2 linked regions of the Xenopus tropicalis genome follow. The protein of the gene in region 1 interacts with the protein of each later gene in a pairwise test. Links are inferred from orthologs where the notes say so. Each region holds a gene or a part of one and is shown in the gene's direction. Other genes may lie near its edges. The genes, in order: rin1 and rras2.

Region 1 (3,815 bases):
AGGAAAAAGCTGCCCAAGGGAGGCCTGCAGCATATAACCAAAAAAAGCTAAAACGCATTGCACTTAATGGTACTGGATGTTGTTCACCTTTATATTCACTTTTCACACACAATGATATTTGCACTTGGTCTTATTTTTTATTGTTTATTAATGTATTTATTTATTGCTGCAAGTTTGTTTTTGGATTATTTCGCTTTTTTTAATTAGTAGCTCTCAAGTTTAGAATTTCAGCAGCTATCTGGTTGCTAGGGCCCAATATACAGTACATCTATAAACTGTGATCTTTCTGTTCCTGCAGGATGACTGAACCGGTATATGATTTCCCATATCAGGAATCCTCTCCAACTCCAATCCGCAAGGGGTCGCCAACATCAGTCAGCATCACAGACAGACTGCTACTCACCCAAAGTGTTTGGCTCCACCGCACAGTCAACTCGGCAACTGCACTGCATATATTGCAAAGGGAGCCTCCAGGGGTAGGTAATTTACAGAAATAGATGTTAAAGGGGCTGCTTTAAGGTATTTGAGATACCAGGAATAAATAAAGTAGTCCCGAACTCACCACAGTCGAGGGGAGGCTCAGGTGCACCGCCTAAGCCCTACCTAGGGGCGCAGAAACAACCGTATGGGTGAGAGCAAGCACTCAATGAGCAGTCCTATAAACAGGCATGTAAAAATCAAAGTTGAAATCTATTTAAGTACAAAATAGTGGTTGAGTTACCAGGGATTGCACCCCTGCCCAAACCCCCTCAGGCCCTATTGGAACCTTGCGCATGTCCTGCATCCAGGCCCTACCAATAATAATTTCGTTAATCGTACAGAAAGAGGTACTTCAGACATATTTGTACCGAGAATAATATACAGAACCTGACTGAAAATTTGATATCTTCTTCATGATCAAACATGTCTTTATCTTACAGACATTCCTAGTGAGAAAGTCCAATACTCGCCAGAAGATGGTTTTATGTGTGAGACTGTCAGATGATTCTGGTCCAAGCTTCATTCATCAGGCATATATACACAAAAGCCCTGCAGGTAGGCATGTGGAACACTTAAATCAACAGTTCAGTGTAAAAATGAAACTGGGTAAAATGGATAGACATTGCAAAATAAAAAATATTTCTAATATAGTTAGTTAGGCAAAAATGTAATCTATTAAGGATGAAGTGACCAGATGTCTTATATGACCAGAACTTAGTTAGTCAGTGACTGGGGGCAGGGTCGGACTGGGCCGCCGGGACACCGGGAAAAATCCCGGTGGGCCCCAGCCCTAGTGGGCCCCGGAGGCCCAGTCCGACCTTTGCCGGCGCTCCCCCTACTGACGCGTTCAATTTATATGCGCTCGGGGAGGACGTCAGGTGGGGGCCCTGTGGGGGGGTTAGGGGGGCCCCTTGGGGGGTTAGGGGACGCGGCTGGGGCACCTGCGGGAGCCCCGGTGGGCCCTGCACCCCCCAGTCCGACCCTGACTGGGGGGGGCACGCTTGCTCCCCATTGGATGTTGCTCCCAGTGGTGTCAAACAGGTGCTTGAACCAGTTGTACTGCCAAACAGAGCCTCCTGTAGGTTGCAAGTCCACATAGGGGCTACCAAATAGCAAATCACAGTCCTTATTTGGCACCCACAGGAATATTTTTCATGTTTTTATCACTTCCCATTATTTTTTTTTTACATTTGAATAAGGCTTACTTGTAAAAACGGTTGGAGACCCCTGCAATTGAGGAGTAATACTAATAATAAAACCCACACACCTTACACATGTATAAATGAACAAGCACACATATAGACTTGGGCATGCATATTTCAGGTATACAGGAAATAATACACCAGCTAAAAGGTGTTCCAGTTCCATATAAAGGCCTGTTTTTATACATGTCATGGAACTGTGAGCTGACTTCTAATATCCTATAGGTACAATATTTTTATAATTCATAATCAGCCATGTGACACAAAACATCCGTAAGCATTGACTATAAATGGTAATATCACTAAGCACCATTTATAAGGATATTTCTTATATGTTAATCCTGGCTCTTTGTTATGTTGCAGAGAAAAATACACCTACCTTTAAAGCATGACTCATAAATAAACATTACTTATGCATTTTCGTGACCTGTGATGATGTATCTAATTAAATGCATTGTTTTCTATCTCTGTAGGCATTTATCTGGAAGAGTCAGAGCTCACTTTCCCTGATCTGATAAGGCTTGTAGCTCACTACAGCAGTGAAAAGTGAGTCTGGGGAATGAGTTTCTCGTTTTCTTGCATTTATAATTAGGGGGAGCAATCACCGATGTTGTTTGGATAAACAGTATTTAGTAATGTTTAGTATAACAAAGAGTGCACCAGCCCATTATAATGACAAGTGTCCGCATTGATAAGTCATTGATAAATCATTTTATTAGACTATCATAATATATATCTAGAGGACCGATATCAGCAGCTGAAATTGGCTGTGTATGGCCACCTTGAGTCTGTTAGACTGCGGAGATTGACACGGGCTGCTGTGGGAAGCCTGAAGCTACCAACTGGTTTGGTTTTCCTACACCAATACATGCAACTGCCTGCAATTCAGAACAGGAAGCAGGAGGAAGGCAACAGCACTAAGCACAACTATACAGAAGCACAAGGAGCACTTGTTGGCTGACTACCTTTAATAAATGTTTTTTTTTGTGGGAAACTTACTGCACTTGGAATAATAAGAGACTCCTATTATTGTTTTTCAAACTTTCAGACTGGGGATTTACAGAAACAGTTCAGTGTAAAAATAAAACCAGGCAAATAAAAAATGTTTTCAATATAGTTATTTAGCCAAAAATGTAATCTATAAAGGTTGGAGTGAGCAGATTTTTAACGTAATAGCCAGAACATAACTCTTCCTTTGCATCTCTCTAACCTGTTAGTCAGCGACTTGATTTTTTTTTTGGTCCTGAACACACAGGTCAGATTGAAAAAACACCTAACTTAAATATTTGAATCAGGTATTGCTAACATACACAACAGAACTCCCACATGGGGGTCAGAATTAAAGATCCAATAATGGTTATAGAAGTTAAAGCAATAGCAAGTGTGTGTGCTGCCATAGCAAATGCACAATGTAAATCCTGTGTTTACTATAAAGTGTAGACTAGTATAAAATACAAAGCCCACTATATGATGGCTAAGACTTTAGTGAAGTCTGCCAAGGCACTAGTCTTTTTGGTGCATTCTATGTTAGACAGCATGCCAAGTTGATAAATGAATTTTTATTCAGCATACATGCTTTGGCCCAACATGCTACCATGAGAAAAATGTTGGATTAAGCAAGTCTGCTGAATAATAACTTATCTGCCTGGGTCTGGAGTGTTTGCTTATAAATAAGGGAAGGATATGTGCCACTCCTCTCTACAGATGCCCAGAACACAAGTCATTTTCAATGAGTCTTGATGTAGCCTTTACCTATTTTGTGTGGATACTAATGATTTTGTTGCATAGCACTTCCATTTTACTTTTCTTTGTTACCATATAACTTTGCTACTATATAACTATATAACTTTTGTACAATTCAAGTACATTATTTACCCTGTATCCTATTTCTTTTCTTTATATTTTTTAAATTCTTTTTACTATCTTTGTATTTCCTATGTGCACCTCATTCGCTTCTTTATTCTGACAGGGATGTTCTGCCATATACACTCAGACTTCCTGCAGCCATAGAAAAAGTACCTTCCAGAAAGCAATTAGAAGCCATTTCTCACCTGGGCCTTGGTAAGTGACAAGGATCATGACAATGATTGTGACAAGGAACTTATTTTTTATCTCTAGTGCAAAATATTATTT
Region 2 (3,815 bases), about 35 Mb from region 1:
ACCAAGCAATGTGTCATAGACGACCGAGCAGCGCGATTGGATAGTGAGTATAAGCTACGCCCCCCTGCTGTACTGTCTGTGGCAGCCCCAGTAGAGGGGCAGGGATGGGTTTGCAGAGGATGCTGGGATATTTATGTACCATCTCCTTTGTTCTTTTCCAGTTCTGGACACTGCGGGGCAGGAGGAGTTCGGGGCAATGAGGGAGCAGTACATGAGGACAGGAGAGGGGTTCCTGCTGGTATTTTCGGTCACAGACAGGGGAAGGTGAGACAGATTGCACCTCGTTATTCTTTCAGTTGCTGCTTCCTGGGTCTTGTACAGGTTCTGAGGGTGCTACATCCCTACACATCCATGGTGGGTCTTGGGATACAGAAGTGTATGAGCAGGAATAAAATGGGAAGGGGATACTAGGGTGCAGGAGTGAGAGGGGAGGGGATACTAGGGTGCAGGAGTGAGAGGGGAGGGGATACTAGGGTGCAGGAGTGAGAGGGGAGGGGATACTAGGGTGCAGGAGTGAGAGGGGAGGGGATAGTAGGGTGCAGGAGTGAGAGGGGAGGGGATACTAGGGTGCAGGAGTGAGAGGGGAGGGGATAGTAGGGTGCAGGAGTGAGAGGGGAGGGGATAGTAGGGTGCAGGAGTGAGAGGGGAGGGGATAGTAGGGTGCAGGAGTGAGAGGGGAGGGGATAGTAGGGTGCAGGAGTGAGAGGGGAGGGGATACTAGGGTGCAGGAGTGAGAGGGGAGGGGATACTAGGGTGCAGGAGTGAGAGGGGAGGGGATAGTAGGGTGCAGGAGTGAGAGGGGAGGGGATAGTAGGGTGCAGGAGTGAGAGGGGAGGGGATAGTAGGGTGCAGGAGTGAGAGGGGAGGGGATAGTAGGGTGCAGGAGTGAGAGGGGAGGGGATACTAGGGTGCAGGAGTGAGAGGGGAGGGGATACTAGGGTGCAGGAGTGAGAGGGGAGGGGATAGTAGGGTGCAGGAGTGAGAGGGGAGGGGATACTAGGGTGCAGGAGTGAGAGGGGAGGGGATAGTAGGGTGCAGGAGTGAGAGGGGAGGGGATAGTAGGGTGCAGGAGTGAGAGGGGAGGGGATAGTAGGGTGCAGGAGTGAGAGGGGAGGGGATAGTAGGGTGCAGGAGTGAGAGGGGAGGGGATACTAGGGTGCAGGAGTGAGAGGGGAGGGGATACTAGGTGCAGGAGTGAGAGGGGAGGGGATAGTAGGGTGCAGGAGTGAGAGGGGAGGGGATACTAGGGTGCAGGAGTGAGAGGGGAGGGGATACTAGGGTGCAGGAGTGAGAGGGGAGGGGATACTAGGGTGCAGGAGTGAGAGGGGAGGGGATAGTAGGGTGCAGGAGTGAGAGGGGAGGGGATAGTAGGGTGCAGGAGTGAGAGGGGAGGGGATAGTAGGGTGCAGGAGTGAGAGGGGAGGGGATAGTAGGGTGCAGGAGTGAGAGGGGAGGGGATACTAGGGTGCAGGAGTGAGAGGGGAGGGGATACTAGGGTGCAGGAGTGAGAGGGGAGGGGATAGTAGGGTGCAGGAGTGAGAGGGGAGGGGATACTAGGGTGCAGGAGTGAGAGGGGAGGGGATAGTAGGGTGCAGGAGTGAGAGGGGAGGGGATAGTAGGGTGCAGGAGTGAGAGGGGAGGGGATAGTAGGGTGCAGGAGTGAGAGGGGAGGGGATACTAGGGTGCAGGAGTGAGAGGGGAGGGGATACTAGGGTGCAGGAGTGAGAGGGGAGGGGATAGTAGGGTGCAGGAGTGAGAGGGGAGGGGATAGTAGGGTGCAGGAGTGAGAGGGGAGGGGATACTAGGGTGCAGGAGTGAGAGGGGAGGGGATAGTAGGGTGCAGGAGTGAGAGGGGAGGGGATACTAGGGTGCAGGAGTGAGAGGGGAGGGGATACTAGGGTGCAGGAGTGAGAGGGGAGGGGATACTGGGGTGCAGGAGTGAGAGGGGAGGGGATACTGGGGTGCAGGAGTGAGAGGGGATACTGGGGTGCAGGAGTGAGAGGGGAGGGGATACTGGGGTGCAGGAGTGAGAGGGGAGGGGATACTAGGGTGCAGGAGTGAGAGGGGAGGGGATACTAGGGTGCAGGAGTGAGAGGGGAGGGGATACTAGGGTGCAGGAGTGAGAGGGGAGGGGATACTAGGGTGCAGGAGTGAGAGGGGAGGGGATACTAGGGTGCAGGAGTGAGAGGGGAGGGGATACTAGGGTGCAGGAGTGAGAGGGGAGGGGATACTAGGGTGCAGGAGTGAGAGGGGAGGGGATACTGGGTGCAGGAGTGAGAGGGGAGGGGATACTGGGGTGCAGGAGTGAGAGGGGATACTGGGGTGCAGGAGTGAGAGGGGAGGGGATACTGGGGTGCAGGAGTGAGAGGGGAGGGGATACTAGGGTGCAGGAGTGAGAGGGGAGGGGATACTAGGGTGCAGGAGTGAGAGGGAGGGGATACTAGGGTGCAGGAGTGAGAGGGGAGGGGATACTAGGGTGCAGGAGTGAGAGGGAGGGGATACTAGGGTGCAGGAGTGAGAGGGGAGGGGATACTAGGGTGCAGGAGTGAGAGGGGAGGGGATACTAGGGTGCAGGAGTGAGAGGGGAGGGGATACTAGGGTGCAGGAGTGAGAGGGGAGGGGATACTAGGGTGCAGGAGTGAGAGGGGAGGGGATACTAGGGTGCAGGAGTGAGAGGGGAGGGGATAGTAGGGTGCAGGAGTGAGAGGGGAGGGGATACTAGGGTGCAGGAGTGAGAGGGGAGGGGATACTAGGGTGCAGGAGTGAGAGGGGAGGGGATAGTAGGGTGCAGGAGTGAGAGGGGAGGGGATACTAGGGTGCAGGAGTGAGAGGGAGGGGATACTAGGGTGCAGGAGTGAGAGGGGAGGGGATACTAGGGTGCAGGAGTGAGAGGGGAGGGGATACTAGGGTGCAGGAGTGAGAGGGGAGGGGATAGTAGGGGGGGGGGGTAGGGTGCAGGAGTGACAGGGGAGGGGATACTAGGGTGCAGGAGTGAGAGGGGAGGGGATACTAGGGTGCAGGAGTGAGAGGGGAGGGGATAGTAGGGTGCAGGAGTGAGAGGGGAGGGGATACTAGGGTGCAGGAGTGAGAGGGGAGGGGATAGTAGGGTGCAGGAGTGAGAGGGGAGGGGATACTAGGGTGCAGGAGTGAGAGGGGGAGGGAATTTTTATTCTGTTTCTAATTTTTTTTTTTGTAGTTTTGAAGAAATCTACAAATTCCAAAGACAGATCCTGCGGGTAAAGGACCGGGATGAATTTCCCATGATTCTGGTTGGTAACAAGGCTGACTTGGAGCACCAGAGGCAGGTAAGTAGTTATGGCGGGGGGGGCAGTGGGGGTAAATGATAGAGGAGGTGTTGGCTGTGATTAAACTCATCTTTTGGGATGTTCCAGGTAACGCGGGAGGAGGGGCAGCAGTTGGCGCGGCAGCTGAAAGTCACCTACATGGAGGCTTCGGCCAAAATCAGAATGAATGTAGACCAAGCATTTCATGAACTTGTTAGAGTTGTAAGGTGAGTGGCGCCATCTTTACTCTGTGTGTTATACATATGGGTAGGGGGTGCCATAGTGTTCCCCTTAGACAGTACAGTATGGGGGTACAGCTTATTGTGTGCCCAGAACATTCCTTCTCTGTATATTTGTATTTATACATATGGGTAGGGGGTGCCATAGTGTTTCCCTTAGACAGTACAGTATGGGGGTACAGCTTATTGTGTGCCCAGAACATTCCCTCTCTGTATATTTGTATTTATACATATGGGTAGGGGGTGCCATAGTGTTTCCCTTAGACAGTACAGTATGGGGGTACAGCTTATT

Evidence for each region.
Region 2: the proteins of rin1 (region 1) and rras2 interact in binary tests that used the Homo sapiens proteins (3 or more experiments, as listed by UniProt). The link is inferred for Xenopus tropicalis from reciprocal best matches to the Homo sapiens genes RIN1 and RRAS2.

What each region holds. Positions count from the first base shown.
Region 1 is NC_030680.2:38,274,509-38,278,323, forward strand, and holds part of rin1 (ras and Rab interactor 1), read left to right. Parts: intron 1-298; coding exon 299-476; intron 477-920; coding exon 921-1,035; intron 1,036-2,155; coding exon 2,156-2,228; intron 2,229-3,651; coding exon 3,652-3,743; intron 3,744-3,815. UniProt on the Homo sapiens protein: Ras effector protein, which may serve as an inhibitory modulator of neuronal plasticity in aversive memory formation. Can affect Ras signaling at different levels. First, by competing with RAF1 protein for binding to activated Ras.
Region 2 is NC_030680.2:3,481,798-3,485,612, forward strand, and holds part of rras2 (ras-related protein R-Ras2), read left to right. Parts: coding exon 1-43; intron 44-161; coding exon 162-264; intron 265-3,196; coding exon 3,197-3,305; intron 3,306-3,392; coding exon 3,393-3,511; intron 3,512-3,815. UniProt on the Homo sapiens protein: GTP-binding protein with GTPase activity, involved in the regulation of MAPK signaling pathway and thereby controlling multiple cellular processes. Regulates craniofacial development.